Linked DNA regions of Struthio camelus. Each later gene encodes a partner of the first gene's protein in a complex. Links are inferred from orthologs where the notes say so. Each region holds a gene or a part of one and is shown in the gene's direction. Other genes may lie near its edges.

Region 1 (7,992 bases):
GATGGTTTGTACTGGAGGGCTTCTTTTGGCTCTCAGCTGACTGTCAGCCCCAGAGTACATAGGTGAGGTGGTCTGAGTTGGGAACTCAGGCCTGCATCCTAGGATTGGTCTGTGCTTGGTGTAATTGCATCTCAGTAGCACTGACTGCCTTGCTCTTGCAGATTTGATGTCTGTCAAAAGGATGATGGAGAAAATGGGGGCTCCAAAGACCCATCTAGAACTGAAGAAGATGATCTCTGAGGTGACTGGAGGGGTTAGTGAGACCATCTCGTACCAGGACTTCGTCAATGTAATGCTCGGCAAACGCTCTGCTGTACTTAAACTGTGAGTGCCTTTGGGATGGAATGGGGAAGACCTAGGATCTGAGCTGGGGTGTTGGGGGAGCCTGGAAACAGAAATTGCTCTGCCTGGGCTCTGGCTGGTAGAGGTGGAGCTGTGCGGGCTAGGCCTTCATGGAAGGGAGAGGAGGACTCTCATGGAGGGCAAGTTCCTTCCACTGTACAAGGCCTCTAGCTTGAGATCCTAGATGGGATTCCACCATCTAGAGCTGGCCCGTGCGGCTGGGCTGGGCAGTGGCAGGTGTTCATGGCAAAGCTGCCTGCTATGTGCTAGAGCAGGCTTCCTCCTACATGATCGGTGCAAGTGATTCTCCTCCTTTTCCTAGAGCATGCAGGCACTCAGCTTTGCAGGACCTCTTGCCTCTTCCCTGTGGCTCTTGCTGGCTTTGCACACAGGCTTTGCCTGTGAATGGTGTGAGGACTTGAGCAGTGAATGAGGGCCCAGCAGGGCTGGCTCCTATTTGCAATAGGATGCTCTGTCCTTGCCTGGTTTTGGAGAGCGAGGCAGTGTGAGAGTAGGTGGAGAGGGGACACATGCTTAAAACAGCTGGCTTGTGCTGGTAGAGGTTTTCTGTGGTTTTCAGCTGCCAGCGCTGGCCTCCCACGGCCTCCTCTGCCCTCTCAACGGGGCTCTGAGTCCTGCTGTAACAAATGGCTTCTGAACACTAGCTTGGCTGCTGCTAGCTGTGGGGTGGGCTCTCTTGGCTCCATATTCGCCTCATTGAAACCTGGCTTTGCCTTTTACAACCACAGAGCAGGCTGGCCCTGCTTTTGTGTCTTTAACTAATGAATAGGAGTTGCTCCCCTCCATCCCCCTTGGCCCTTTCTGAAGGCAGCTTTAGTAATGCAGCCAGCTTTCTGGGCAGGTTGGGAGGAAGGATCCTGTGCCCACCTGTCACATGTTCCCTCTGAGCTGGTAGACACTCGTTAGCCATGTGTCTCTCCTCTTCTGCACTGACTGCCCTGGGTCTGCGTGTTAAGGTGGTGTTCTCCCAGGCACAGACAGACTTCTGACACCCCTGCTTCCTTCTTTCTCTCCTGAAGCAGGCTGAGCCTTCAGCCTGTCCCATATCTTCCATCCTTCCTCTAAACTGCGGCAGCTTTCACAGGTGGATCCCTTTTGCTAACAAACAGGCACCCCATTGTCTGTTGGACTCTGAAGCAGGAGCAGAGATGTAAAACTTGTCCCAAGAGCAGTGAAATCTTTTGATCCAGCGTGGCAGCTGACATTCCCAGCATGGCTGCGGTCCTCAGGGAGGAAGACAGTGCTGGCAGTTGCAAAATGCTTAGGATTCCTTTGGCTACTCCCTTACTCCTTGTCTCTGCCCTCTTGCCTGGCTGCAGCTGCTTGCTTGATTCTTTTTTTTTTGTTTCTTTCAAATGTTGTGCAGTGTCATTATGTATGAGGTGGGCCAGGGATGGTATATGTTTTTATGCATCAGGAGTGCTTGGCATGCAGTGCATGCCCGGGGATTCGGAAATGGCTGTCTAAAGCAAACATGCTAATCCTCTGTGCTTTGGGAGGAAAACCAGCTGGGGCATTGGGAAACCCGCTCTTGGAGATTGCTGGAAAAGCAAAGCTGCCTGCTAAGCTGCCAGCACTGCCCTCTGTTGGCTTTCTGTCCTGTTAGTTGTGGGATGTCCTTTGCATAGGAAGCAAAGGCTCATTACATTCAGCAGACGAGATATACCCCTAATGATGGGTGAAGTATACCCCTAATGATGGGTGAAGATGGACTTGTTCTTTTCATCTATATTATCTGCTGTCTTGCAGGGTCATGATGTTTGAAGGAAAAGCCAATGAAAGCAACCCAAAACCTTCTGGCCCGCCTCCAGAGAGAGACATAGCCAGCCTCCCTTGAAGAGGACAGGCTGGAAAATTGGAACTGTTTGCTTTGCTGGTCTGTAACAGAGGTTACCTGTGCTTTGTTACTCTTTACTTTGGACGGTCTTAGTTTTCAACTAACCTGCCTTAGAGGAACAGCAAGGGAAGCTGGGGACCCCCCACCCAGCTCGCATCTTTCTGCTACATCCCTTAGCCAGCTTGATTTGTTAGAGAGAAGCTGTAGCACAAAGTATAATGTGAGACCAAAAAGAAAAAAATCCTGGGATCTTACTCTTTCCCTTGCCCTCTCTGCATTTCCTAGACGACAAGGAGCTACTTTCCTCCCAACTTGTGGATTCAGAGCTGTGCTTGTCTCTGCAGGTTCCTAAGGGGTCTCGTTGCCAGATGCTGAGTGCTTCTCTGGCAGCAGCTCTGGCCCCTGACAGCAGCTTCATGGGTGCAAAGAATTAAGTGCCTTCACTGCTCCATCCTGTGCTTCCTGACTTTGGACTAGTTCTTCCCCTCCTGATCTGGCCAAAACACAAGTCAGGCTCCCACCTTTGTGGCCTAGTCTCTTCCCAAATGAAGATGAGAAGGTGCATTGACACCAGAGGTCTACTTGAAGGCCTTTATGCTTGGAGTGGACATGGCTTCCTGCAGGGATGGGCTTCTCTCTGCTCCTTGAGTTCATCCTGCAGTCAGATCTTCACGAGTCTGAGCCAAGTGAGCTGTTAATGATCCTTTTCTAGTGCCCTTTAAGCAGATCTTAGTCCCAGGTCTCAATAGCCCCAGGAGTAAGACTCTGCTCAGCCAGCATGATGTGCCTGGGTCTTGCTCTCCTCTAAGACCTTTGCTTGCTGCTGAGGTTGGGATGGTCCTAAGGGAGTATTTCTTTAGCTGCTAAGTTCAGCAAGGACTTTCCTTTGGGCTTCACCTTGAACTTAAGTGCATATCATAAGTTTTTAAACTTGCAAAAATAACTGGCTGGAGTCCCTACCTCCCTGAAATCAGTAGGGCTAGCGTGCCCCTCTGTTCTGGAGGCCAGTTTACTGGGCCCTTCCACTACAGCTTGCCTGCTGAGAGGACATGATAAAATCTCAAACATAAGCTGTCAGCAGGAACATGGTCTGCAGATAAACCATGCAGGCAGCATCCTACTGGCTCCTACCAGAAGCGAGATTAGAAATAGGCAAGAACTGTCTCCAGATGACAGCTTTTGGCTCCTGGCTACAAGGCAAAGACAAAATTTTCCACAGGATGCTTCTAAACCAGAAGGCAGACTGGAGGGTGCCTCTGCAACCATGATGGATTAAAAACCCACCTGAGCCCTGAGGTCCTCAGAACCTAAAGGCATAAGTTCTACAGAACCTAAAAGAACAAGTTCTGCGAAGTCTGTCAGCTGAGGAAAAGCTATCAACCCACTGCTGCTTTTAATATCTTGGGTCTTCCTCCTCCCTTCCTAGTTTGCTAGGCTTTTCCTTGCCCTCCAAGACTTACTGGTTAGCCACAGGAAAAAAAGGCAAGCAGCAAGTGAAGTCACAGCCCTGATCTAAAAAAGGGAAGCTGCAAACCTATCCTGAAGAGGTGGAGAGTGCAACACCAGCCAGCTCAAGTGAGGCTGATTAAAGCTACTTTAGGGCCCCTCCCTGATAAATCCCTGCTTGGGTCAGATCTGGAGCATAATCTCTGAACAGGTGGCTGTCTGTCTTGTCCACAAAGTGCAGAAGCAGGCCTGCTGTTAGGCCTTTACAGCCCCTGAGGAAGGCTTAAGGGAAATTGAACCTGCAGGTTCAGGAAACTGCTGACTAAACTGTGAGCTCTGCAAGTCTTTCCAGACCATTGTGGATGAGGATCTATCTTCGTGCTGCTGCTCAGGCTTTCTGATTTTTGCAGATCTTTCTGCGTATGTTTCAGCTTTGTCTCATGGGACGATTGGGTGTGTTTTCCTGATGTAGAAAATCTCAAGCCTGCAAAATAGGAATGATTTACAAGCATGCAGTAGGATGCCAGGATCTAGAGGTAGCTGGGACTCTATCAACCTTCTGGATACTGTTGTGATTCTTGCTCTATGCACAATTTCTGGATTCCAGATATTTGCTTTCTTCTCCTCCCTCCCCTTACATGTTCTTGGCAGCTTTTAACTTTTTAAAAATCATTGTTTAATAAATTTTTTAAAAGGAAATACAGATGATTGTAACTCTATGCTAGACTTATTGTTCCTGCCAAAGGCTGCACTTTTAAATAAAAAACAAATTCTCACTGCTGTTTGCGTGAAAATGAAAACTGTAACGGAGAGATAAAAACAGTGAGGAAGAGCAGCACCAGTCTACTGAAAAGACCAAAAATAAATCTTCTGAAACTACACCCTGTGTCACCCTTATTTAGTTTGGCTTTTCTGAAGCTTGGACCAAACGACCAGTTGCAGATTAAACAAGCTCGTTTCCAAGTTGGTTAATATAAACCCTCCACTAGATCCTGGAGATAAGAGATCAGATCAAGGAGGCCCCAACCTAACAGCTGACCGAGCGCTGTGGAGCTCGTGTTACAGAGCGCAGAGGCCGCCTCCTGAAAGCCAGCCTTCTTCTGACTTCGTGGAAAGGAAACAGGTGGCTGCGCTTGTTTTAAGGAGTTTTGTTTACCAAAAGCACTCGCTTGCGACGCGGCTCCCTTTCCCTTGAAGGCTTTTTTTTTTTCCCGCCCTCTCGGTTCTTAAAGCAAGTGGGTGTCAGGGGCACGGAGAGGAGCTGCCCGGGGGGGTGACGGGGCAGGGCCCTTCTCCTGCGTCACCCTGGGGCCCGCGCCGCCTTCCTGACAGGCTCCGCGGCTGCGTCAGAAAATAAGGCGGCCGGGGCCTGGACGCGGTTCGCCACAGCTTCCGCGCAGCTGCGGAAAGCTCTGGAAACGCACCTGGGGCCCTTGGTTTTGGGGGCCTGGAAGGGGGAAGCGCTAAAGCGCCGGCGCGGCCCCCCCTTTCCTTCTCCTCCCCCCCCCCCCTCCGGCCGCGAGGCCCGCGGCCCTGGAGGACTCGCGCCGCCTCCCGCCGCGGACCATCGAGAGCGCTGGCTAGCGCGGCCCCGCCGGAAGCGGAAGTGAGGGCGCTGGCGGAGCGCGCGGGGGTTTCGCGGCTGTGCGCCGGGCGGCGGGGCCTGCGGGTCTCGGCGCTGTGGCCATGGGGGACGACATGGACGTGATCCCCGAGCGGGAGATGAAGGTGAGGGGTGGGGGGACGAGGGCAGGCCGGCCGTGAGAGGGGAAGTCGTCGGGCTCGGGGATGGATTTCGGTGCCGGGGGGGAGGGGGGGAGCGTGCCGGGGGGGGGGGCGGCGTGGGCTGACAGGGGGCAGGGACTTTGGAGGGAGCCTTCCAGGGTCTGTGGAGCACTTGAGGACCTTTTAGGAGACTCTGGGACAGGCTAGGTGGTGGAGGAAGGGTGGGCTGGCGTGTCCTGGCCTGGCCTGCGGTGGAGGGGGGGCTTGGTAAAGCTGCGAGGATGATAAAGGGCTTGGCTGTGGGCTCTGCTGTTTTTCATGGATCTTGGGCGAGCTGACATCTTTAAGAGAGGAAAAAGGGAGAGTTGGAGTTTATGTTGGGAGAGGACTGATGCTGTTGTCAGTCCTCCTGTCAGTATGCCTAGTGCTGGGGTTCCCCTGCCTTGAGAACAGTAGACTTGAGCACAGCCTTAACGTGGGGGGCTCCGCGTATGGCGAGTAAACTGGAGTCTTGTCCTGGACTAGCGCTTCCCTGTCTGTCCCAGAGTGTTACAGGGAGGAATGTGGTGAGACAGGGCTGTCTGTGCAGATGCTCCAAGCCCATGTGCATCTTTGTGCAGCTGCTTTCTGTTCAGGCACCTCCAAAAACCAGGGAGTCAGGCTGTTTTGCAGGAGGTTCTAAGTTTCTGCAGCCTCCTTCCCGTGCAGGAATGCACTTACTCAGTGCTTTGGAAAAAATGAAGTAGTGCTTTATTCAGTGATTGGCATTTTGGGAGGACAGGGTCAGGGTCATTTCTAAAGGGAGTCTAGCATTTCACCTGACAATAGCGTAACTTGTTTCTTAATGCAGTCGATTTGTGTTTCTGTAGCTTTATAACTTCTGCAGTTTATCTCTTGCTCTGCTCTTCCCACTTTTACAAATGACAATGCAAATTATGAGAGGAATGAGCACACAACATACATTTGATTATACAAAGTAATCCCTGGGGGACAGTGGAAGGAATAACCATGTCTGTTCTGTGTATGTTAAACTGCTACTACAGTAGTAAAAAAGATGCGTCTAGATAGATGCGTGCTTTGCAGCTTGGGTCTCTAAGAAAACGCATTTTATTTAGTCATGCGGTATGTTTCTCTATTTCGTTCCCTTCTCTTTTTCTTCTGTATCTATTAGCTAGTTTCAGGTACGTTTTGCAGAGGGCTAGGTGTCTTGAACGTACTAAACTCCTACAGGTTTTGTGAAAACAGGCTTATGGTAACCTATGGTAAAGCATTTTAAAGTCAGTCGTTTTGTCTTTGGAGTGTACGTAACTTCCACTAGTTTTTTGATGAAGTAAATAATGGGAATTGTAGGCGCTATGCGGATAAGATAAGATGCACCTTAAAAAGGTATGGAAACAAGCTGCTCTTTACATGAAGCGCAAGTGAGTGTATGAGATGGAAAATGTGATAGGATGGCCAGGGACAGTGTGGGTCTGGACTCTGCCTTAGGGGTGTTTTGCAGCTCTCAAGGAGAGGCCTTTCAACTTACCGTCCTAGAGAAACTGAAGTAAACTGATCCTCGTTACCAGCATACAAACAGCTATTTCCTGACTCTTTTACAACAGGATTTTCAGTTTAGAGCGCTGAAGAAGGTCCGGATCTTTGATGCTCCTGATGATCTTCCCAAAGAGCGGTCCAGTCTTCTTGCAGTGTCTAACAAATATGGGCTGGTCTTTGCTGGTGGGGGAACGAGTCTGCAGATCTTTCACACTAAAAATCTTCTCATGCAAAATCAGCTGGGAGAAGATCCCAATAAAATTGGTAAGGCATGTCTCCTGGTGTTTGTGCAGAGACAGCTTTATATAGGTTTTCATGGTATGGAGCTCTTGGCTTCTGACACAGTCCTTGTCACGCATTTAAAATTACTGGGTTTTATGGTATTAATCATGCAGGAAGAAAACTTGCTGCAACTCTAGCTGATGCAGAGTATAGTCGTTGGGAACACGCTGTCAGGATGCTCTATGCTAGCTCACGTTCAAATGTCATTCAGGTTTGGTTTCCTGTGTTCAGTGCCGTATGGTGAGATTGGCTTTTCGTATGTGAGAGTGTGCCTCTTTTCTTGCAGCCCCGCGTTCTTTTGGTAGCCAGATTTTGGGCTGTGAACTTGGATAAGTATTCAGGATGTGTGTGAGTGGAGTGGAGTAGAGTTCTTGCACCGAGTTATCCGCTTTGAATAAACAACCGTCTTGCAAGAGAGGAAGAAATCACTGTTCCACAAGCTCACAACCGAAGTGCAAAATTGTCTTCATTCTCACCTTTTCCTTAATAACTATATACTGTGTATGTATATATGTATTGGCTATACCAAAGTATCCACGTGCTCCCTTAAGTAAAACCTAAAACGCGTCTAGTTATTTTTCCTCCAGGTTAGTGAGGAAGGAAAATGGGATTTTCTTAAGAATTTCTCAGACTTAAGAATTTGAGAGCCTCTGGTGAAACAGTATTGATAGAGATGAAGGGTTGGCTTTCACAGAGGGAATTTCCATATGTCAATTTTGACAGCTGCTGTTTATAGGACTATCTGTTAGGTGTGTGTGTTTTTGGTTTGGGGGAGGGGATTTGCATAAACCATATTGTTTTAA
Region 2 (7,108 bases), on another chromosome or scaffold:
ACCCTAGAAAGGCAGCCAGCAGCATTGCTCTGGTCCTAGGGATGGGGAAACTGAGGCACAGAGGGTCGTTTGCAGAGTGAGTCAGTCCAGGAGCCAGATCGGGCCATCACCTGGCTTCCCGCGTCACCTACCTGCCACTTAACAACTGGGCCACCAGCCCCGTCATTAACGCTAAGGCTGCTTGTGCGTCGCTGAGCTTAAGTCGATTTGGGGTCAGGCTAGAAAGACAGCTGGCTGGAGCAGCCCTAAACCCGAGTAATCCCAGAGGCCCCAAAGCCACACTGGCTAGGCAAGGCCTAGGCAACTTCAGGTGAGTTATTTTTAAGTGAGTGCTTCCATTTCAGTAAAGAATTTCCCAGCTTCTTCCTCCAAGAACTGAATTCGCAAGTGGAAATAGCAACCAGGACACCCCACCGCAAGGAGCGACGCTTCCCTGCCTTCCCCTCCCTGTTTCAGGGGAGAGGATGCATCAGACCACAGCAAAGAAAGACCGCAGAGGCAGCTCTTATTGTGAAGACATGAGCAGTGTCCTGCCAGAGATGATTAAACTGAGCCCACCGTCATGTGAGGCTGCTGCTACGGTCTGAGACTTTCCCTAGGAACCTGAGATTAGTCTATAATAAGAAGAGCAGAGCAAACTGGGTTAGCCTTAGCTTTTAGCATAGGCTTTGCCCACCCCCTCGGCTGTGCTTCAGCCACCTCCGCCCAGGGCTCTGCACACGTCTGGCGGAGCTGTCATCAGTGCAACGAGCCCCAGGGCTCTGCAGGTAACCAGCCCGCCGGGGAGGAGCGCCGTGGCCCTTTGCAAGGCATATCCTCGAGGATGGCAATGCGCTCTGGGGCATCTGAACGGCGCATCCCGTCCTCTGCGCCGAGGCGGGATCCGCTCGACCCCGCGGCGTTTTCCCCGTGCTCCTGGAGGGCCCCAGTGACGGAGCCGTAGCCCGTCCCGGTAGTTTGCTGCTCCAAGCAATCGAAAGGCTTCCCGACACCCACCGCGTCTGCCTTCTGAGAATTGGTTTTTCCCGTCCGCTGTGGGTACAAACATACTCTGCCGAGTACGGGATCAGCTGCATTCCTGCACCCCAGCTCACCCCGCTCACCGCGGCGGGTAAGCGCTGCTCCCTCGCCTTCCCCAAACTAACGCTGCCGCGGCCTTTCCTTCTCGGGACTGCGCTTGGCTTCCTTCTGGTGGGGCTCTGCGGCTGCGTCCTTCGCGCGCAGCACCCAGAGCCGGGCAGCGTCACCCCAGCGGAGCGCGCTAACATCTGACACGCGACCGTCCCGCCAACAAGCCCCAGAACTGGGGTTGTTTCCTCTGCAAGAGCACCCCCTTGCTGGTGCGCCGGCTCGAGTCAGCCGTCGCGCGTCACCGCTCGCAGTGAAAGTCACTGCCGACGAGACCACGCGGGAGAAGGGCGTTTCCCAGCCCGTCTTGATCCTGTTTTGCATGCTGTGATTTAACCTCAAAAAATCTAACTTGTCCCGAGATCAACATAGGAAGTTTCACCCAGAAAATGTCATGCGAGGATATTTAACAGGCTGCCAGGACAGAGCGTAGGCTGGAAGCCAGTTCTGAGCCAAACCTCAGCTGATAGCAGGAACAGGCACTAATCTTCCTTTGTACACTCGACTGTGACAAGAAGCGTTAAGCATGGTCTCAGCACAGAAGCGGAAACCAAACCGTAAATTCTGATTTCAAGCTTGCTACAAAAATTCAGCCTGTGGTTTGGGCGAATTAACAGCAACCCAGCGTTTCAGGGAGAAAAGTTCCACCCGCACACTGTGGATATAATTTTGCCATATAAACATTACTTGAAGCAGAACTTTTTTATTTTAAACTATTTTCTTCTCCAAACGGACTACTTCCAAAACGTCCTCACGGAGCAGAACTCTGCGAAACCTCGGCAACCGCGAGCAAAGCCACCGGCAAGGCGGCCGGCGCAGAGCGCGGCAAGGGGCACCTACCATAGTTCTCCGACGAGGACACGTAGGTCAGGACGAGGAGAGCGAAGTTTTCGAGCAGGTTGAGCAGCAGGTTGAAGTGGCAGAGGCGCAGGTAGCGAGGGTGCGTGCAGCGGCAGCTCTGGTAGTGGTTCCAGTAGGCGATCGCCACCAGGAAGCGGGGCGCCGAGTGGAGGCCGATGCAGAGCCGCCAGACGTAGCGCTGAGGGGTCTCGCCCCCGATCGCGGCACTGATGGAGGGCAGGTAGTTGGGGACCTGGAGGGAAGACAGCAGCTGCTGGAGAGGCACAGGGAACGTGTGGCGGGCTCTCCGAGACGCTACAGCGATCGGCGAGGTAAGTTTTATTCCTGTGTCACAAGCCAGGGAATGCAACGGCGCAGCAGTCCTGCTTCAGCCTCAGGGTCCATCCAGCCCAGCACGCGGTCTCCAGCGCCGGCCAGGGTGCAGGATCCTTGGCCGGTCTCAGGGAGCAGCAGGGGCGGTTGGGAGAGAGAGGAGAGAAGGGTGCAGTGCATGGTTTTGGGAGCCCATCCCTAACAGGGAAAACTGATAGGAACAATGGGCAAAAGGCATGTTCAGGGAGGAACATAAAAGCAAGCAAAACATCAGTGATACAGCCCCAGAACAGACTCCCAGCCTCAAGGATTCAGAGCTCAGGGACTTCCCAAGCCGGCTGCGATGGCTACGTAGCAGGTAATCCACACCGGATTACTCTTCCGTGATCTCGTTCGGTCTGGCCGGCACCCAGGTAGAGCTGCGTACCCACAGTCTCCTGTGGATGGACAGTCCACAGATCCACTACCCTCTGCTTGAGGAGGAGCCGGGTCCCACGGGGTTGCTGCCAACCTGCCACCTCCATACGGCGTCCTCTAACTCTGACGCTGGCAGAGGGCGAACGGGATCCCTGTCTGTGCTCTGCACGCCAGCCATGGCTTTAGAGGTCTCTATCCTACCTCTCCCACCTCATCATCTCTTCCCATTTGACAATGAAGGATCCTTGCTTACTTCGTCATCCCCACGTGACGCCTCTGAGCATCCTCGCTGCTCTCCTCCGTACAGATCCCGTACTGCTGCTTGGGAGGAGGGGACAGACCTGCACGCGTTGTTCAAGACACGTCTCAGCCACGGGCCAACACCGGCATGAATGCCGCCCGCTCTGCTCTACTCCTTTCCTAACAACTCCTGGGCTTTGATTGACTTTTTCAACTACTCCTGAGCACCGAGTGGAAGTTTCACGAGAACATCTATCGCTCCCCCAGACCTCACTCCGGAGCGGCGATGGTCAGCGCAGAGCCCACCTCCACCTCATTGTAGGCAACCTCAGGAGTGCCTGTCCACATGCACATCACTTATTTCTCTGCATGGAACCGCACTGGCATTTTGCTGCTCGGTCGCCCAGCTGCGTCCCGCCCTGGACGCAGCCCCTGACAGCCTGCCTCACCCTTCCTGCACCAGCACCTTGCCATCGCCAGCAGTCTTCGTCACCCCACTGCGCACGGGCACAAGGAAGACCACAGACACCTGTAACACCCTGAGGTCACCTCCTCCTGCTGCTGTGAGAGCTGAGATTATCTACTCCTGCCTTTTCGCTAGGTGCTTGTGCAGGCACAGACTTCCACGCTTGTGCCGCGGCTGCTTGAAAGCCTTGGTGAGGAACCTGATCCGAACCCTTCTGGGAACCCAAGAGGTCCCTGTCAACCGGACCGCTCCCAGGCACGCGCTTGCGACTCCTCCAGTGCCTCCAAGAGGCAGGAACTCCTTTTGCCAAAGCTGGGTTAACTCTTCCATGAGACACCATCTTTATCTGCAGCTTCGCTAGTTCTGCTCTCCAGTCACCACCCGCCTGCTCAGCACAGACGTCGGCCAGGCCAGGCTGCGCTACCCTCCATCCCTTTTTAAAAGCGGGAACCTCAACCGCTAGTCACGCGGCATCAGCAGCACAATAACGGAGAGGAACGTATCCAAGGTCACGTATCCCGGCGGGGGGGAGAGCGCGGAGCAAGGCAGGATTCCCGCCGCGCCAGGCGCCCCCTTTGCAGACCTCTGCGTTTGGCCGGTGAGAGGCGCTTACCCCGCAGTGGGTGGCTGTCGTCTCCTGGAAATGGAACAGCAGAGACCAGATCACGCAGAAAAGGAAACCAAACAGCGGGCAGAACACGGTGCCAACAGCCAGCGTGGTGAAACGGAGCCGGAACAGGATCCCATCGCGGTCCAGGGGCAGCGGTACCTGTAACATGTCGACGGACCTGCAAAGAAGAAGCGGAGGTGGGAAGGGGACGGAGCAGCCCGTGGCGAAGTGCAGCCCTCCGCCCCCCCCCCCCAAAGGACGCGGCCCCTCTTTCGGGCTGCGGAGCCACCCCCCGGGGCTCCCGTCAAACCCTGGCAGGGGGGAAGCAGCTTACCAGCGAGGGTCGGAGGCCGGCGGCGGCGTGCCGGCCCCCCCGGCGGCGCTGAGCTCCTCGGCGCGGGGGCAGCGTCTGCCGCAAGGGCTGCGTCCGGCTCCGGCTCCGGGCCGTTACCTGCGCGGCGGCTCGGCCATCGCGGCCGCTCTAGGCATCGCGCTGGGGGGGGCTGCGGGCAAACGGGGGGGGGGGGGGGGGGGGGGCGACGTGAGAGCCTGGCCCGGCCCCCGCGCGGCCAAAGCCGAAAAGCGAATCAGCGCTGTGACCGTCCGAAGAGCTCAACACCCCCCACCCCACCCCGGCCCCCCGTGACCCCCCCTCTCGCTCCCAACATGACCCACCCCCAGCCCCCCCCAGCTCCATCCGTGACCCCCCCCGGCTCCCCACTCCCCCCGTCCCCCCCAGCTCCATCCGTGACCCCCCCCAGCTCCTCACTGCCCCCACGACTCCCTCAGCCCCCTGCTCCCCCCCCGGCCCCCTCACTCCCCCCGTCACCCACCCCCAGTCCCCCCCAGCTCCATCCGTGACCCCCCCCAGCTCCTCACTGCCCCCATGACTCCCTCAGCCCCCTGCTCCCCCCCCGGCCCCCTCACTCCCCCCGTCACCCACCCCCAGTCCCCCCCAGCTCCATCCGTGACCCCCCCCAGCTCCTCACTGCCCCCACGACTCCCCCAGCCCCCTGCTCCCCCCCCGGCCCCCTCACTCCCCCCGTCACCCACCCCCAGTCCCCCCCAGCTCCATCCGTGACCCTCCCCAGCTCCTCACTGCCCCCACGACTCCCTCAGCCCCCTGCTCCCCCCCCGGCCCCCTCACTCCCCCCGTCACCCACCCCCAGTCCCCCCCAGCTCCATCCGTGACCCCCCCCCAGCTCCTCACTGCCCCCACGACTCCCTCAGCCCCCTGCTCCCCCCCCCGGCCCCCTCACTCCCCCCGTCACCCACCCCCAGTCCCCCCCAGCTCCATCCGTGACCCCCCCGGCTCCCCACTCCCCCCACCTCCTCCCATGACCCCCCCAGGTCCTCACTGCCCCCACGACCCCCCCGGCTCCCCCCATCCCCTGTGACCCCCCCCAGCCGCCTGCCACCCCCCCGGCTCCCCACTCCCCCCGTGACCGCCCCCCGGCACCTCACTGCCCCTACGACCCTCCCACCCCCCCGCTCCCCGCCACCCCCCCGGCTCCTCACTCCCCCTTGCTCCCCCCGGCCCCCCGTGACCCCTCCAGCTCTCCGCTCCCCCCACGTCTCCCCCCCCCGTGACCCCCTCGCACCCACCGGCCCCACACGGCTCAGTCCCGCCGCCGCCGCCGCTCCTCCCCGTCCTCCCCTTCCTCCTCCCCCCGCCGCCCGCCTCTTCCTGCCCACCCTGGGCCAGGCCGCGCCCGCTCATCCCTCCTCTTCCTCCCGCCTCCGGCCCCACGCGGGGCGCGGCGGGGCCCAGCGCTCTCTGAGGCGGCCCCACGCGGGGCGCGGCGGGCCCGAGGCCGCTCCGGGGAGGCCCCACGCGGGGCGCGGCGGGCCCGAGGGCTCTCTGGGGCGGCCCCACGCGGGGCGCGGCAGGGCCAAGAGCTTGTGTGTCTCTTTGGTGCAGCCCCACAGGAGCGTACGGCGGCGCCGAAGGCTCTGGGTCAACATCGAGCGCCCCACGGGGACGCGCGTGGGGCTGGAATCGCCTTCGGCCCCGCGGGGCGCCTCCCCCCCCCCGGTGGAGCAAGTGCTTCCCCGCGGCGCCCCTTTAAGGCCCTCGGCCCCGCCCGCTGCGTCACAACATGGAGGCGGCCCGGCGCTGCCGGGTTGGCCAGGCCGGGGGAAGTCCCGCCCCCCAACGCCCCGGATGTAGGGTAGCCCAGTGGTGCGGCTGTTCTGGACCCTTCCTCAGTGGCCGCCCTTCCCCCTCCCGGGGCCCGGCCAATCGGCGCTCGGGTCGCCGCAGGACGCGGCGCGTGGCTGCAGCCAATCAGAGAGCAGCAGCCCCTTCGCTTCCCGTTCCCACCAGGGTGAGGTGGGAGGGGAGGGGAGCCGTCTCGCTTTCAAAGAGCGGCAGCCAATGAGCGGCGGGCGCGCGGGGGCGGGGCCGGCCAATAGGGTAGGCGGGAGCGGCGCGCGCGCCGCGGCGCAGGGGCGGCTGGGAGGCGCGCGGAGCGGAGTGTGACGCAGATTCCCTCCCCCTGTGAGGCGGCGGCGGCGGCGCGGGAGAGGCGAGGCGAGGCCCGGCCCGGTGCGGCCCGGCCTGGCGCGGCCCGGCGCTTCCCTTCCCCCGGCCCTTCGGCGACCCGCGCCCGCGGTGAGCGACGGGGACGGCCCCGGGCGGGCGGGGGGCGCCCCGCGGCCTTTGTTGGGCGGTGCCGGGAAAGGGGGGAGGGCCGGGCCGCGGCTCCACGCGCGGCCCCGGGGCCGGGCCGGGCCGGTGAGGAGGGGGGGAGGCCGCGCTGTTCCCCAGCCGCCTCCACCGCGAAGGGGCTGCGGGTGACCTTCGCTGCCGGTTCGGTTCCGCGCCCCCGGCGGTGCGGAGCGCCCCGGCCGGGCCGGCCCCCGCCGGGCCGTGGCGGTGTGGGAGTTTGTCGGGCTGGCTCCGTGGGGGGGGGGGGCGCGCGGGGTGAAGCCGAGCCCTCCGTCCCCACAACCGCTGCGCGTTTACACGTTACCTGTAAACTCGGCAGCGTAGGCGCTGCCCCGCTTTCAGGGGCTTAAAGCGGTGGGGGTCTGGGAGCAGCGCCACGGGTCTGTTAACGCGGTGTTTAAAT
Region 3 (7,899 bases), on another chromosome or scaffold:
TCACTTGGGGTAGTTGTTGCAGTACTGGGTGTAAATATTGAACTCCTGGCTCTGCGGGGAGGGAGGGAGCGAGGTGAGAGCCCGGCCCGGCCCGCCGGCCGCCCGCGCCGGACCCATCGGCGCGGAAGCCCCCTTACCCGGGTCACGAAGCAGACGGCCACGGCTACGGGGTCGTGGTCGCAGCCGTCCAGGTTTTGCAGCAGGTTGCTGGGCGGAGAGAGAGCAGGGTCTTAATTGGGGGGGGGGGGACACAGGAGCGCCCCAGGACGGGGCGAGAGCGGTGAGGCCGCGGCGTGGCCCCTCACCCCGCCGTCAGGCCTGCGGGCAAGGAGCTGCGGGAGGTACCGCCGGGAGAGCCGCGGCCACTCACCTGCTCAGCTCGTAGATGTCCTCGATGTTGCCGAAGAGCGCGCTGACCTGCTCCGGCCGCAGCAACGGCTCCTCCGCGTCGATGATCTTACCCAAGTAACCCTGCCGGGCGGCCGCAGTCGGACCACGGCGCCGGCGGAGGGGTGTGTGTGTGGGGGGGGGGGTCCGTCCCCAACCAAACCCCGTCCCGGCGCCGCCTGCGGACACCCCCGCAACGGCCGAGCCGCTCACCTCCACGATGCCGCGCAGGTCCCGGGCGTAGGTGCGCTCCGACTCCACGATCTCCAGCACCACCCGCTCCAGGTAGCCGGGACGGGCGCCGCGGGGTGCCGCCGGGCGCCCGCCGCGGGGTGCCCGCCAGCTGGCCGGCGACGCGTTGTTGTTGTTCCTGTTGCCCGGCCCGCCGGCCCGCTCCTCCAACCCGTCTCCGGCCGCCTCCTCCATGGCCAAGCCGGCGGCCGGGGTTCAGAGCCAGGCGCCGCGGCCGGGTGGCCGCCGGCATGTCGGCATCTCGGGGGCCGCCGGCCCGGCCTGCGGGGAGACGCGGGGCGCCGCACGTCAGGCCCCCAGACGTTTGGGGAGGAAAGGGGGGTGGTGGTGGGGGGGGGGATGAAGAGGATCCCACCCCTCTCCAGGCCCCGGACCCCGGCCGGGCCGTGGCGAGGCCCGAGGCGCTCGGAGGCCAGACCCGAGGGTGACCTCGCGCTCTCCCCCCTCTCTCCACCTCCGCCTTTCGGGGCTCCCTTCCCTCTTACCCCCGAGCGGCCCGAGGAGGAGGAGGAGGAGGAGGAGGAGGAGCGCGGGCAGGCGGGCGCCGCCGCCGGGCAGAGGCCTCGAGGGTGCCGGGCCGCCAACCGGTCAGGCCGGTTCGCCTCGGCTCCTCCCCGGCGTTTCGGGCCCTACCGGGAGGTTGGGGAAAGGGGGGGGGGGTCCGTTCCCCTATTTTGGGGGGGGGGGGCGGTGGGTGCCGTCTGGGCGGGAGGAAGACGAAGGAGAAGGCCGCCGGCGGGTCGCCGTCCGGCCTAATCGGCTCAAGGCGCCGACCTGGGGGGGGATTTAGGGAGCCGGGCCGACGTCACCGGCAGACGGGGGCGGCCGGGGCGGGGGGGGGATCGGCCCCGTCCCGCGGCGAGGCGCGTCGGGCGCTTCCCGCCTTCGACGCCTGTCCGTGGGTCGGGAGCGGGAAGGGAGGCGGCGGCGAGCTGGGGGCCGGAGGACGGAGATCCCGCCGGAGCAGCCCCATAAGACGGGGCGTTGTGGGGTGGCTGGGAGGGGGGGGGATCGCCGCTCAGCAGGCGTTTCGGCCCCGTCCCCCCCCCAACCCCGGCCGCCCTGGCAGAGCCACGACGGCCGGCCGGTCCCAGGGCCGAGGCGTCCCGGACGTGGGGGGGGGGGGGGGGGGGGGGCGGAAGCAGAGGTGGTGGTGGTTTGGGGGGGGGGGTGGCGAGGGGTCACCCCCACGTTAGGCACCCGGCCGGCTCCGTCGAGCCGAGCTGCACCCCCCCACCACCACCCCGCGCGGGGGCCGCCCAAGCCGCTTAATCCCGCCGCGTGGACGTGGGGGGCGCGGAGTGGGGTGGGGGTGGGAACGACCCGTCCCACCGCAGCACCGTCGGGACGAGCAGAGGGGGTGGGGGTGGGGGGGGCGGCGCACCCCTCGCCGGCCCCGCCGCGACCCACGGCCACGCCGCGGGGCAGCCCGCCGCCGCCGCCGCCAACACCGCCGCCCCCCTCGGGGCGCGCGCGCGCCCGCGCGCCCCCCGCCCCGCGCGCGCGCGCGCCCGCGCCGCACTCACCCCGCGCCGCCGCCGCCGCCGCCGCCGCCGCCCGGGCCGTGCCCGTGCCCGCAGGAAGCGGCGGACGAACGAGCCGCGGGAGGCGGAGACTGTGACCGCCCCGCCCGGGCCGCTCCGACCTCGCCCCGGTACCGGACACGGCGCTGTCGCGGTTATGGTGTCCCGGACACGGTCCCGTGGGGAGCGAGGGTGGGGGGGGGGGAAGCGGTGCCGGCACCCACCCGGGCTGGGGCACCCTGGCCGTGTCCCTAGGGGGGACCCACGGCCGTCTCCGCGGGGGTGCCTCTAGGGGCTCGGGCGTCCCACCGGGGTCCCTGCCCGCCCCAGGGGACGTGGGCACCCACACAGGACCCCCACCCCAGGGGATGTGGCACCTCCCTGGGGTCCCTTCCCCAGGGGACGTGGGCACTTCACTGGGGTCCCTTCCCCTGGGGGACGTGGGCACCCGAACAGGGTCCCTGCCCCGAGCTGTGGGCACCTCACTGGGGTCCCCACCCCAGGGACATGGGCACCCAGATGGGGTCCTTTCCCCGGGGCACATGGGCACCTCACTGGGGTCCCTTCCCCAGGGGACACGGGCACCTCACTGGGGTCCCTTCTCTAGGGGACACGGGCACCTCACTGGGGTCCCTTCCCCAGGGACACGGGCACCCAGATGGGGTCCCTTCCCCAGGGGACACAGGCACCCAGACGGGGTCCCTTCCCAGGGGACATGGGCACCTCCCTGGGGTCCCTTCCCCAGGGGACGTGGGAACCTCACTGGGGTCCCTTCCCCAGGGGACACAGGCACCTCACTGGGGTCCCTTCCCCAGGGGACACGGCCACCCAGACGGGGTCCCCGCCCCGGGGGACACGGCCACCCAGCCAAGATCCCCGTCCATGCGGGGTGCCCCACCAGAGCCGCCACCGGCGCGGGCACGTCCCCCGGGGCCAGAGGTGGGTGCTGCGACAGCCCTTGCCGCTACCCAGAGCATGACGGCGGGGGGGGTGACGAGGAGGAAGCTCCATCCCGGGAAGGGGGCCAAGTCGAAAGCCCCCCGGGCGGGGGGTGGGGGGGACCCGGAGGGGGCGAGGTGCCCAACCGAGCAGCCCCGCGGCACCTGCCACCGCTAGAATGGGGCCATTCTGCCGGCGGGCAGACAGAGGGCTTTGTGCCGCCGGGCGCCGCGCTCTCGCCTTCCCCGCTCAAAGGCAGGATTGTTCAGGGCCTCGTGCTCCCTCTGACCCCCCCCCCCCAGTGCCAGCTCCCCCGGGGAGGTGTTGGGAGTGTGGTGGTGGTGGTGGGGGGGGGCGCTCACCCACCTTTCCCGGCTCGAGCAAAAGCGCATTTTTGGTTTTGTTTTTTTTTTTTTCGCAAAAGCAAAAGTGCTTTTCCTCGTGGCGCCCATCACCGTGGTATCATGCCTGCTCCCCCCCCACCTGTCCCGCCCCCAACCTCCCGAAGGTCACAGCCGTCCCTTTGCCCTTGAGCTCAGCTCCCGCTCAGCCTGGTGTTATAGGGGTGGCGGGGAGGGGAGGGGGGGGGATCCAACTCAGACCCCCCCCCCCACCCCCGGGCGGGTTTAAAGCTTTCGTGGGGAGCGGGACAAGCCGAGCGCCGCCCAGGGACGAGCGATTTGCTTCTACCTGAAACTCGAGCGGCCCTCGACAAAGCGGGAGCGCGAAGGGTCGCGCCTTATCTCCCGCGCGGACGAGGCCGGGGCGCGCGATGAAGGCTACGCGCTCGCCCCGCCCGCCGAAAACGTTTTTGGGGGTTTTTGGGTTTTTTTTTTTTTTTTTTTTTTTGCATCTGTTATTAGCAGCGGACGATTTGCAAGCTAACGCGGGCCTCCTGCCCGCGCGGCGCAGCGGCGGAGCTTGGGCGATTTGCCCGGCGAGGCTCGGCAAGAGGAGGGCGCGCGACTCGACCCCGAACCCCGCAGCAAACCAAACGGCGCTTGCCGCAGCGGCGCCGCGCAGCCGGATGCGCGAGGGGCGTACGGGGCGTTTCGGCGCGCGCGTCCCCGTGCCTTCTCCCGCCCAGCCCTACGCCGGGGCGCGTCCCCATCTTGTGGGTCCCGGCTCCTCTCCCCCAGGCTCCAAACCCCTCTCCCCGGCTACGGTCCCCCTCCTCCTGGCCCCCTTCCCCAAACCCCATATCCCAACACCTCTCCCCCCTGCGCTCGCCCCTCTGCCCCAGGCCCCAGCCCCTCTCCCCTGGCCCCCTTCTCCCAGGCCCCATAACCCACCCCTCTCCCCAGCCCCTCTCCCCTGGCCCCCTCCTCCCAGGCCCCATAACCCAGCCCCTCTCCTCTGGCCCCCTCTCCCCAGCCCCCTCCTCCCAGGCCCCATAACCCAGCCCCTCTCCCCTGGCCCCCTTCCCCAGGCCCCATAACCCACCCCTCTCCCCAGCCCCTCTCCTCTGGCCCCCATCTCCCAGCCCCTCTCCCCCAAGCCCCATAACCCACCCCTCTCCCCAGCCCCTCTCCCCTGGCCCCCTTCCCCAGGCCCCATAACCCAGCCCCTCTCTCCTGGCCCCTCTCCCCAGCCCCCATCTCCCAGCCCCTCTCCCCCAGGTCCCTTAACCCAGCCCTCTCCCTCAGCCCCTCTCCCAGACCCCCTTCCCCATTTCCCAGCCCCTCTCCCCCTGCCTCGGCCCCTGCTTCCCCCCACCCCCACCCCGTTCTGCCCGCTTCCCGTGGTGCCCCGCGGCGCCGCTTTCCCGTGATGCCCCGCGCGGCGGGCGGGCGGGAAGGCAGGAGGCGGCGGCGGCGGCGGCAGCGGAAGATGGCGGCGGCGCTGGCGGAGCGGAGCTGCCTGGAGCTGAGCGGGGCGGCGCGGGGCCCGCCGCGGCGGGTGCGGGAGGTGGTGTTCAGCCCGCCGGGCACCGTCCCGGCCCCCGCCGGCCGTTACGGCGACAGCGCCGGCGGGTTTTGCTACCAGGAGAGCGCCCAGCTCGCCGCCGTCACCAGGAACCGCTTCATACGCTGGTGAGTGAGGCCGGGCCCGCCCTCCCCCCCCCCGGCTCCGGCGGCCTCGGCCTCTGCCCTCGCCCTGCGGCCTGGGCCTGGGCCTCTCCAGTGCCGCCAGCTGGGCCCCCGCGCCTCTCCCCATACCCTCCCTGCTCTGCCCGCAGGACCACGTCGGGGGACGAGGTGGAGCTGGTGGAGGAGTCGCTGGACATCAACCTGCTCAACAACGCCGTGCGGCTCCGCATCCAGGGCTGCCCGCTGCTGCCGGGCGGCGTGCACGTGTGCGAAGTGCAGAGCCACCTCGTCATCCTTCTCGCCACTGCCCAGACCGTGCACCGCCTGCTCCTGCCGCACCCTGCCCGCATGTACCGCAGCGTGAGTACCGGCACCTGCCTCTCCCGGAGGTCCTGTGCGTAGGCATGGCGTGCAGGTGCTTCCAGGGCCTCCTGCCATGCCAGGCACCCGGCTCCGTCCTGCAAGTATGCAGAGCCGGGAGCCCTCAGGACAGCACCTAAATGAGTAGCGAGATAGCAAAGACCTCAGGGTGTTTCCCATCGAGGTGGGGACGTCGTGGTATTTCCAGCACTGCTGCTGGGCATCCTGCAAACCTGGTGACGCCACACTGCGGTCGTCATGCCTGGGTCATAGGGGCTGACTGGGTATAGAAACATTTATGCTAGATTGCTAACGAATACAAAGCAGAGCTCTTCCTGTGCTTTTTGGAGTTGGGCACACAGATCCACGGCAGTCTGAATATTTCTTCTTAGTAAATTAGTTTGTTTCATAGCTGTGTGATCAAGATTTGTATCCTGTGCTGGAACCCTCTGGTGTTTCCAGAGGCGCAGAGCTGCAGTGTCAGTTTAGGGACGTCTCTTTAGTTTAGTGGTTTAATTTCTTACTCAAGTGACCTCCTAACTTTTCTAGCTGAACTGCTTTTTAGATGTTATAAAATGCTAAACTCACAAGTCCTCTAATTTTTGGCCAAATACAGCAAGTTTGTTCATCAGTGCAAGGTAGATCTCTATGTGGAACTGAAAACTGCTGGAAAAAGTATCTGTCAGTTTGGAGGAAAAATCAAGGAATCTCTCACTTCCTGTAGAGCTGAATTTAGTCAGACTGCGTGCATGGATGAGGCACTGGTCATTGGAATAAGATTTACAGTGTTTCCATATTTATAGTGTTAGAGTGGCTTGGTGTCACTCTGGCAAGCTCCTCATCCTGCTTGTCTCTAGCCTTTGGTTATGGTTGCTGCGCGTGTATTTGTTCTGGTGTTGTATTTGCTCTTTGCAGGTCTTAGGCTAGGCATCGTGACACAGGGGCCAAAATGGTATTTGGAGGTAGGAACTGAGCAGTTCAGAGAAAGACGGCTTGGGCGGGTGTGTAACTTGTCCTGTTTAAATAGTAAGGTATATAATCTCTTTTTGTTGCACGTGGAAGATGGATCTTATGCAAAAATTACGTTGCATGTATCCATCCTGGTGTGACCTCTGGGTATCTCTTGGAGAAATCATAATCTCTTGCATTTAGGGTTCAAAAGAGCATTTCCAAGCGGTGATGCTGTGCTTTTGCAGAGCTGCTTTCTTTCTGGGACCTGTTACCAATGTTTTGTTATGAATTCTCTCACAGCAGCCGATAGAAGTAGGACTGCAGGACTCCTTTGGGGATGTTAGCATATGTCAGGGAGGGAGAGAGCGTTCTGCTAGAAACTTACAGGTTTTTAAATCCTTTCACTCTCTGCTCTTAAAGAGAAATGGTCATGGGTTAAACGTAAGGGAAGCCAAAAGTGGTGGTGAGCAGAGAGGTCTTACCAGAAAGATCCTTTTTATAAAGTAGCAGAGTTGCAAGTGTCGTTCCACTGGTGTTTTTCTGTGGCTGTGTGTGTGTGTTGAGGATTGGTACTCCTTTCTCTGTTTCCCGTTTCCAGGAGCTGATAACAGAGAGCCAAATGCAGTCCGTGTTTACAGACATTGGCAAAGTCAACTTCAGAGATCCTTCAAATTACTACATGATTCCCAACGTGCCAGGCCTAGCATCTAATTCTGTTGCCTCAGCGGCTTGGCTTAGCAGTGAGGGAGAGGCTCTCTTTGCTCTACCCTCTGCTTCGGGAGGAATCTTTGTCCTTAAGCTGCCTCCTCACGATGCACCTGGTAAGGAGTGGGAACAGGCTGTGTCTTCATAAATCTATATCTTTATGGAGCGCGGTTTAGTGTTATCCTGCACGCTAACAAATAGCCTTGTCTAGACAGAAACACCCATTCCGTCCTGGATATGCTTTAGGATATGCTCTGTGTGTGTGTGTGTGTGTCACTGTGGTCTTTGCAGTTGTGCTGGTACATCTCAGCCTGTCCAGTAACGTCCCTCTTCTAGTTTTGGACTTCAGCTGATTTCAATTTTTGTCATGTTTATCTCATAATTTCGCTACACCCATGTGCCCTTCTACATCAGATCTGTGAAGTCCTTTGTTGGTGGAAGTATATTCTCTTGTTAGCAAGTACTCGGTATATTTGTTAATACTACTTTTTCTTTTGAAAGGAACAATTTCAATCGTGGAACTCAAACAGAGCTCAGTGATGCAGCGTTTCCTTACTGGTTGGATGCCAACTGCCATCAGGTTAGTGTTTGGTGACAAACAAATGGAACTTTTTTTTTTTTTTTATTCCCTCACATGGAGACCCTTAGTGTTTCTAGTTGAAATCAAAGATAAGTACGAAGGAGTCAGCATCTATAAATACTTTGTCAAAAAGGTTGAGTAACTTGGTCACAGGATCCAGCACAGTGCTGAA
Region 4 (7,658 bases), about 1.0 Mb from region 1:
GCTTCCAAAAGAGAAACTAAGCTCACAGACCCCAGAATCCAGGCATAGCTAGAGTTCAGATTCACGCTGCTGTCAAAGATCAGAATGAGAGCCACAGCAATGATCTGGGCAAAAATAGCTGTCATCGTCCCTTCAAAGGTCTTCTTCGTTCCTGGCCATTTGATTTCTCCCATTGCACTGCCAAATACTGAGGCCATTGTGTCTCCTACTCCTACAGCCAGTACCCCAGAATAGGGGACCAACGCTCCTGCCCCAGACAAGACACCTTTAGGAGCGCAAGGTCTTGGAAACAACCACACTGGGAGGGACATGCCAAGAAGAAGATAAATATGAGTCAAGATTAGAGGTCCACTGTCTCGTTCATCCAAGAAGAGAGACAGTAAATGCCTAAGGGTTTGGCCAAATGGTTTGATCCTGAAGTATCGAATGTACTCTAAGAAGATAAATACTGCCAGGCACAATACTGCAGCAATGTAGAGAAGCTGGCGGTCATAAATTAGTCCGGGGACATAAGTAGCTACCACAATGAAATGGAAATATTTCCTGGTTATGGTTGAGGCCTGGTGTTTTTTAGACTCAGATGATCTTTTAGCGTTCTGGTAGAAAACTATACCACATGCTGAAGCAGCCAACACGGTCCAATATACAAGAAGGTAAACTCTCGTTTGCGTCTGAAATAGAAACTGGAGTAGCCAGAACAAAGGATTTCTCTGGATCAGCCGGTAAAGCCAAGGCATAATGACCCCTAGGCCTAGCACTGCTGTCATCATGTGGAAAAACATGGAGGAGATCCAGGTACCTGAATCCATGAAAGCGAAGAGAACAGTGAAAAAAATCCCAAGAAGAACAACTCCAACAACTGCCACCAGAAGAAAAAAGTCTATGGGATCACCTCTGCTCTCGACTACGTTCAGTGAGCGTTTAATGAGCTGATTGAGCACAAAACTTATACCCCCAAGAACTAACAATGCTTCTCCAGGAGTAAAACATCGAGGCAACACGTACAGCAAGATCATACTGAGGTAGACAAAAATTAGCAGCACTTCTAGGACCTCTATCACTTCTGAAACAGTCAAAGAGTGCTTCATGGTATAGATAATTATACTGCCAGCAACACCAGTAAGTATGCAAGTGTTGGTTGGTACAGGTTTTGTGATGCCAACCGCTATTACAGACAGAAAGAGAGCAACCAACATGCCAGTGGAAGCTACAACTATGCCAAAACGTTCAAAGTACACAATGCCAGCAGACTTGCATCTCTCTTTCATCACTATTCCCAACAAGGGGATGACCATGCTAGCTGGTAGGAGGCCACTGTTCGCTGTTGTACGAAACTGGAATACAGCCCCACCCAGCTGGAGCAGACGGTCCCATTTGAATTGGACATAAAAAGCCTGGACGGCAAGAGCTATAGTGCACCAGGAATACCGGTCCCACACCACCATGTGCACACACAGAACAACGATGAACACGATCAGCGATTCCACCAGCACTGGCTTGTTTAACATGATTCCAGTCCGACGTGGCTCAAGCTTTCAAAATCTTTCTCACGAGTCCCAAATATTCTCAACAGTGGTCCATTAGCAAGAATTCCCTTTCATCCTACTGCAATTCCTATTAAAAAAAGAATACACAATTAAAAAAACTACTAGAGAAGCTAAAGCTTCCACTCGGCTGTGTTGTTCGTAAGCTCAGTTTAAACTGATAGCCACGGGCAAACTATTAATGGCAACACGAAGCCAAGTGAAAAAATAAAACCAAACGGACAAAGGGATCAGCCAACGCTTTTATCCATATTTGAGAAGCAGAGAAGGCAGTCTGCGGTCACAGAAATGAGTACCGAGTACCACTCAGTACTGTGGTATTCAGATACACACACTAAATACTTCTGTTGCAGCCTCTTTGAACTAAAATATGAAGCAAACAAACCATAACTATTCCCAGAGAGTTTGGTGAGGCACTGAGTACATTTGAAATATAGTTAATTTCATAGTTTAGAGGTAACGTTAGGACCTAATCTTGTATGCTGTTTTTGCTGTTGTTTTACAGTGACTTTTTTTTCCCTTTTGATAAATATTTTTCTTCCCGCTGCTGTGCAAAAAGCAAAGGTACCTCTCTCCTTCCATTACTGATGTTATGACTGAATACTTCAATTACTGCAGCAGCTGTTTTATAACATTATATAGTGTTTACAATAAAAGTAGGAAAGAAAACATTGCAATCATTAAATACTTTACTTCATCTAAAGTTGACCTATTACTAGAACTGTCAACGTAAGCTGAGTCAGAGAACTGAGCTCAGAAGCAGCAAATGAACAGAGTTCTCTTGCCTACAGCCATGAGAGGACTTTCATCCCATCCTTAGTATTAAGCAGCTGAATTTGTTTTGTTTCTACAGCGCTGTCGGATCATATTTGTTATGAAGAGATCAATTCTAAAATATACCTCCAGTCCATCTTGATATATTGGCAATATTCTATTTAGCTCTAGAATATGTTGTAGCAATATCGTTTAACCATTATGCAGCTTAGTGAGTAAATTTGATTTATTCACGTTTATCTCTAAGGAAAGGTATTGGCTTCTGTTTCTCCTTAACTCATGTCACAGCCTCTCCCTGATTCCAGCTGTCTCAATTGCAAATGAGAACTGTACGTGTCTCTTTTACATAGAGCCTAAATCTGTCTGACTGACTAGAAATACTTCTAGTGTTAGTCTGTCATTAATGACATCTGACAAATCCTAGCAAGCCAAACTATTTTTTGGGACTCATCCCCAAAAGGCATCATAATCTTACAGAAATGATTTGTTTAGCTAAGCGCTGGCATTTATGCATCATTTTCTTGAAATTCTCAGCAGTGAGTGAACCTTGTAACACATTCTTGATCATGATATAAAGCTGTCATTGCTTCCTATATCCCCTCACTCCCGTGTCTTGCTTATGTTGGCTGGATTTACATCATTTCGCCTTCTCAGTATCAAGTCTCACAGCCACTGGCAGCTGCACTGCAAACTAATCATTCCCTTAAACCCCTGGACTATAAGATAAATGGTTGAGATTATCAGCAACACACGATGATTCTATTAGGTTAAGTTGCATCTTATCTATCTCCTTCAAAGTACTGTGGACACTCAATATTGTGCAATTCTCACTAGCATTTATTGTTTTATTGTTATTTATTGTTTACTGTTTTCTGGTAATATGCATTTCTCCTTATGCATGATTTGATATTCAGTCTTAGCTGCACATAAGCCAAAGACATTATACTGACATCGCTCTTGGGTTCTTTGAAAGTATTCGTTTCTGTATTTCTGTTGGTAATAGAACGGTTGACCCCTTTCTCTCCTGTCTACTGTATGCTGATAAGATATCTCCAGCTGAAACTGTGAATAACATCTTCCTTTTTGGCCCACTTAAGTTGAGCAGCAGTAAACTCTTATCAAATTCTGCTTCCCGTTCTCATTACTAATAGCTACGTTAGCTTCCTCATGGAAGGCTATCAGTTTATATTTAAAATTGTTTCTGTTTTTCATCCAGTGCTGGCTGGTTTCACCAGATTATAATGCTGATACACGTTTTATTAGCGATGTTACTGGGTGACTATCAAAGTTCGTATCGCCCAACTCCCTTACGTTGTGGGTCCAGAGAATGTTCTTATTTATTACATCTCCGTACTGAAAATTCTGACTTTTAGTTTTCAGTAGCTTGATTTTCAGCATCTTTATCAGTACAGCCTGCAATATTTGATTGCCGAACCTAAAGACACTACGTTTACTGTTGCTATACAGCCAGATCAAGCTAAACGTAATCTCTCTCCCATACCAACTCATTTCTGAAATAAAGAAGAATTCAACATGTAGTCAACAAAAATAGAATTAGCATGGACGATAGGGCCAATAGTGGTTTTGTGGTCCCCACTCTTTGCTCTTTCTGGGCATGGGGGCGGGGGGGAAAAGCTTGAAGCTTATTTGAGAAGAGCCTGGCTAAAGGCAGAAGAGAATCCCTACTCAGTTTGGCTGCTTCAGGGTTGCAGCCCAGCTCTTGCAGCAATAATGGCACATGACAGCTTCGCCCTAGCACGCAGCCCGCCAGCTGGGCTGCGAGACGAAGACGACCACCCTTTCAAACGCGGGTTTTCTCTTCTGACGCAGCGGCCTTTGACAGCCGCCGACCTGCAGCTGCAACGCGGTGCACCTCGCTGCTGAATTACCTCATCCTGTGCCCGTGGCAGCTCCCCCTCCCTGCCCTCTCAAGGGAAAATGAAGCCCCTCGGCGCATCCCGCTTCCTCGCGAACAGGAAGGGGCTCCCCCTCGCTCCCACTTTCTAATAACTTTGAGGCGTTTTCTGGCCGTTTCGGGTCTACCTCCTGCCGCCCCTCCTGCCGCTGGCGGGCTCCGTCCTTCCCCGCGACAACAGCCGCCGGCTGCCGCAGCCCCGCGGGCCCCGCTCGGAGGCTCGGCCCGGGGCTGGCCGAGAGGCCGCGGCCTCCTCCTCCTCCCGCCGCCGCCCGCCCCGCGCTCACCTCGCAGAACGCCGCCATCTTGGCGCTGGCGCCCGTCACATGACCAAACCCGCGGGCGGAGAGGGGAGGCGGGGCGGCGGCAGGGGGGAGGGCTTCCTTCCCCTCCCCCGGCCCCCCCCCCCCCTCCTCCGGCTCCGCGCGGCGGGTCACGTGAGAGGAGAGCGAAGATGGCGGCGGGCGGGCTGTGCGCGAGGTGCGGGGACGCGGCGGCGGTTGGTCCGGCGGGGGGAGGGCGGCGGGGGAAGCACCGTCCCTCGCTGCGCGCGCGCGCGCGCCTCGCCTCCCCTCCGCGGGGGGGGGGAGGGGGCAGAGCGGGCCCCCGCGGGGGGCGGGGAGGGGAGAGATAACGGCCGCGAGGCCCGCGCCGGCCTGCCCCGCCGTAGCCCCGCCCCCCCCCCCGCGCAGCGAGGCCCCGCCCCCCTCCCCTGAGGGGGACCCCCCCACACACACCCGAGGTGGGGGGAGAGTGGGACCCTGGTGGTGGGGGGGGAGGGAGGGGGTCTCGCACCCAGGCCGGCCTGCGCCATGTTCCCGCCCCCGCGCAGGCTCTAGCGCGTCCCCGAGAGACCGTATCCCTCGCGGGGGGAGCGAGAGACCCACGCGAGAGACCCCCCCGGGCGGCGTGCGTGGGGCTGCCCGCCCCCCCCACCCGCGAGACCGCGCCCCGGGCGGCGGGCGTGGGGCCGCGTGTCCCCTCCACGAGAGCCCCCAGGTCAGGCCGGCGTGTCCGCCTGCAAGAGACCCCCCCCCCCCCCCGGTCAACAGCTGCGTGAGGGACCTCGCCTTCGGACGGGACCTGAGGAGATCGGGCGTTCTCGGGTGGGGTGGCCGCAGGCCGCGCGCCCGTCTGTGACGGACCCCCAGCCCTGAGGGGGCCCAGCGCTGGTCTGTGGGAGAAACCCCCTGCGCCTCCGTCTGTGCGCGCCGTCGGTCCCTAGAGAGGTCGAAGGAGTCTGCTCGCGCGGCGGACGTTGGGCGAAATCTTCAGGGATTTCTGTCATCCCTCGTTTTGGGGGGAACGAAAGCGATGTTTCTGAGGAAGGTCTGGAGTTGCCCGCTCTAGCAGGTGGATCTCCCCTTTGGATTTGAACGTGGAAACTCTCCGTGGTGTTCTTCAGTGGGCTGGGTTTTTTTCTCCCCCAAAACTTAGCAAGCATTGGTAGTGATTTTTTAGGCATTTTGTGTTTCTTTTGTTCTTCCACAATGTAAAAGATTAAGTGCTAAATAGAACTGCTGTTTACAAGCTTTGGCTGCCAAGCTGAAGTCTTGATTTATGCTAAAGTTTTGGAGGTATCTGTCAGACTTCTTTTAAGTCACAGAGTTATTGTCACAAAGAGCATAGATTTCAGGGTTTGATTTTCGTTTTTTGAAGAACTGAACCCTTTGCAAATATAAAATTAAAATAGCAGAGATGTGGAAGATGTGTACAGGAAGCTATTTTTTTTTGATGACATCCTGGTCCAGTGATCACTTTGGACTGATGTCTTCTTCGGTTTTGTGTGTGGATTTTGACATATATTGTAACGTTTTTGGATTCAGGAAAGTTCCTAGTAGTCTAATTACAGTAATGCCTACAAGCGCTAATGGGGACAGGAACACCACTGTTGCATATGACCACATTAAGAGAGCTTTCTTAGCTCTCTTAGCTCTCTTAGAGTCTAATTAGCGAACTGGCAACAAACAGTGGTCTGTTTTAATCGTAGAAGAGGTTTGGATGGAATGAAAATGAGAAGGGTTGGCTGTGCCATACTGATGCTCCGTTCTACAAAGGGATGCTTTTCTTGGTAAAATTGTGTGGCCTTTTCAATGCTCTGTGTGGGCTGGAGAGGTTGCACCCGCAGCTGGTTGCCAACGCGGGTCAGGAGAGGTCCTTTAGCTGCTATACAGGGAGGTGCATCTAACTGTCAAGGAAATTGGCAGGTAGAAATTAGGTTGGTTGCGCTGCTGAAAATAATAGCGCGTATAATCCATTTAAATAGCACCATGTGTCAGAAGTTACAGATGACTTTCATTGCCGTAGTGAATTCTCTTGAAGACGTTATTCCAAAAATAAGTTAGTATGTTTTTTTGTTTTTTATAAGAGTTGTTGTACAGCAATCTTTGCATGATGAGTAGTGCTGTTTAACTCTTGATTTGTTTTATATTGCTAAAAGATCGTCAGTTAGCTCCGAGTTCCTGAAATGTTCTACTTGGGTAGCAACTTTTTGCAGAGCTGTTTTAGGGAGATTCATCTTTCTGGTTTGCATATGCCTGAGTTAGGATTTGATCTGTAATACTTAATAGCACAAACTGGCTTTCCTACAAAGTTGTAAGGAACAGGGAGAAACAAGAAGCTCAGGGTTAATATTCCGAAGAACTGAGGCAAACATTCTACCTTATGTGAAAGTATTGCCGTTTTTCACTTTACCTAGTTTTATTTTCCACCTGGAGTGGAGTAGGAAACTATTATAGAGGAATTTGTTTGGAGGAGAGCAACAAATGACATTGGATAAAATATTGCTCTCTACTTTAATTAGATTTCCTCTTACTAACCTCAGATGTCCAAATAGCAAAATCAGATTGAGCTAATAAACTGATATAAATGTGCTGCTTCCTTGATATGAGTTTATGTTTCCCTGTACCACCTTAATGTGATCTGCTTGAAGTAAATTGCAACTTTAAAAAGGAGTAAGCTAAATATAAACCTGAGACAGTGTTCATTAGTAAAATACTCTCTACCTTTTCCCTTTGTTTTTAGGAGCAGCAGAGAATTGTGGACTATTCTTCTGGGCAGATCAGCTTTAAGAGAACCAGTAAGTCTGTGTCTGGCGAGGCAGGTTTGCCCGTCACTGAATGGACTTCGTGGCCTAAATACATCATTTGTTGTGCAGCTGTTTGAATATCAGTGAAAATATGTTTTTGCTGCTTTTCCCTCTTCCTCAGTGCGATCTTTTTTTTCCCTCTTTTTCCACTCCTTGTTTATTTTTCCACTCCTTGTTTATAGCTGCTTCATGAACTTCTACCTGGAAGGGTGTATGTGAAAAGGTGGTTCCCTTTCTGAAGCGGACACAAGTGGTACTTTCTAGACTGGCTGGCCTGGGTATTCATGAGTGGTACAGCCTGCTTCCTTATTTTCTGGGACGGAGCCCGTGCTTTCAA

What was found.
Region 2: NUP214 (region 1) and NUP98 share a complex: the UniProt entries of both Homo sapiens proteins name them as parts of the nuclear pore complex. The link is inferred for Struthio camelus from reciprocal best matches to the Homo sapiens genes NUP214 and NUP98.
Region 3: NUP214 (region 1) and NUP160 share a complex: the UniProt entries of both Homo sapiens proteins name them as parts of the nuclear pore complex. The link is inferred for Struthio camelus from reciprocal best matches to the Homo sapiens genes NUP214 and NUP160.
Region 4: NUP214 (region 1) and NUP188 share a complex: the UniProt entries of both Homo sapiens proteins name them as parts of the nuclear pore complex. The link is inferred for Struthio camelus from reciprocal best matches to the Homo sapiens genes NUP214 and NUP188.

What each region holds. Positions count from the first base shown.
Region 1 is NC_090961.1:6,136,847-6,144,838, reverse strand, and holds the start of NUP214 (nuclear pore complex protein Nup214), read left to right. Parts: upstream 1-4,980; 5' UTR 4,981-5,332; coding exon 5,333-5,374; intron 5,375-6,975; coding exon 6,976-7,171; intron 7,172-7,992. Other genes in the region: AIF1L (allograft inflammatory factor 1-like), read left to right, coding at 162-324, 2,113-2,200. UniProt on the Homo sapiens protein: Part of the nuclear pore complex. Has a critical role in nucleocytoplasmic transport.
Region 2 is NC_090942.1:224,224,204-224,231,311, reverse strand, and holds the start of NUP98 (nuclear pore complex protein Nup98-Nup96), read left to right. Parts: upstream 1-4,202; 5' UTR 4,203-4,231; intron 4,232-4,368; exon of another isoform or gene 4,369-4,537; intron 4,538-5,639; exon of another isoform or gene 5,640-5,699; intron 5,700-6,204; exon of another isoform or gene 6,205-6,361; intron 6,362-6,508; exon of another isoform or gene 6,509-6,648; intron 6,649-7,108. Other genes in the region: PGAP2 (post-GPI attachment to proteins factor 2), read right to left, coding at 1,969-2,221, 4,038-4,202. UniProt on the Homo sapiens protein: Plays a role in the nuclear pore complex (NPC) assembly and/or maintenance. NUP98 and NUP96 are involved in the bidirectional transport across the NPC. May anchor NUP153 and TPR to the NPC.
Region 3 is NC_090946.1:5,690,234-5,698,132, reverse strand, and holds the start of NUP160 (nuclear pore complex protein Nup160), read left to right. Parts: upstream 1-4,898; 5' UTR 4,899-4,931; coding exon 4,932-5,134; intron 5,135-5,280; coding exon 5,281-5,491; intron 5,492-7,040; coding exon 7,041-7,263; intron 7,264-7,648; coding exon 7,649-7,727; intron 7,728-7,899. Other genes in the region: PLEKHG3 (pleckstrin homology domain-containing family G member 3), read right to left, coding at 5-51, 138-207, 371-471, 601-813. UniProt on the Homo sapiens protein: Functions as a component of the nuclear pore complex (NPC). Involved in poly(A)+ RNA transport.
Region 4 is NC_090961.1:7,136,258-7,143,915, reverse strand, and holds the start of NUP188 (nucleoporin NUP188), read left to right. Parts: upstream 1-4,653; 5' UTR 4,654-4,687; coding exon 4,688-4,713; exon of another isoform or gene 4,714-4,798; intron 4,799-7,257; coding exon 7,258-7,312; intron 7,313-7,658. Other genes in the region: DOLK (dolichol kinase), read right to left, coding at 1-1,508. UniProt on the Homo sapiens protein: Component of the nuclear pore complex (NPC), a complex required for the trafficking across the nuclear envelope. Required for proper protein transport into the nucleus.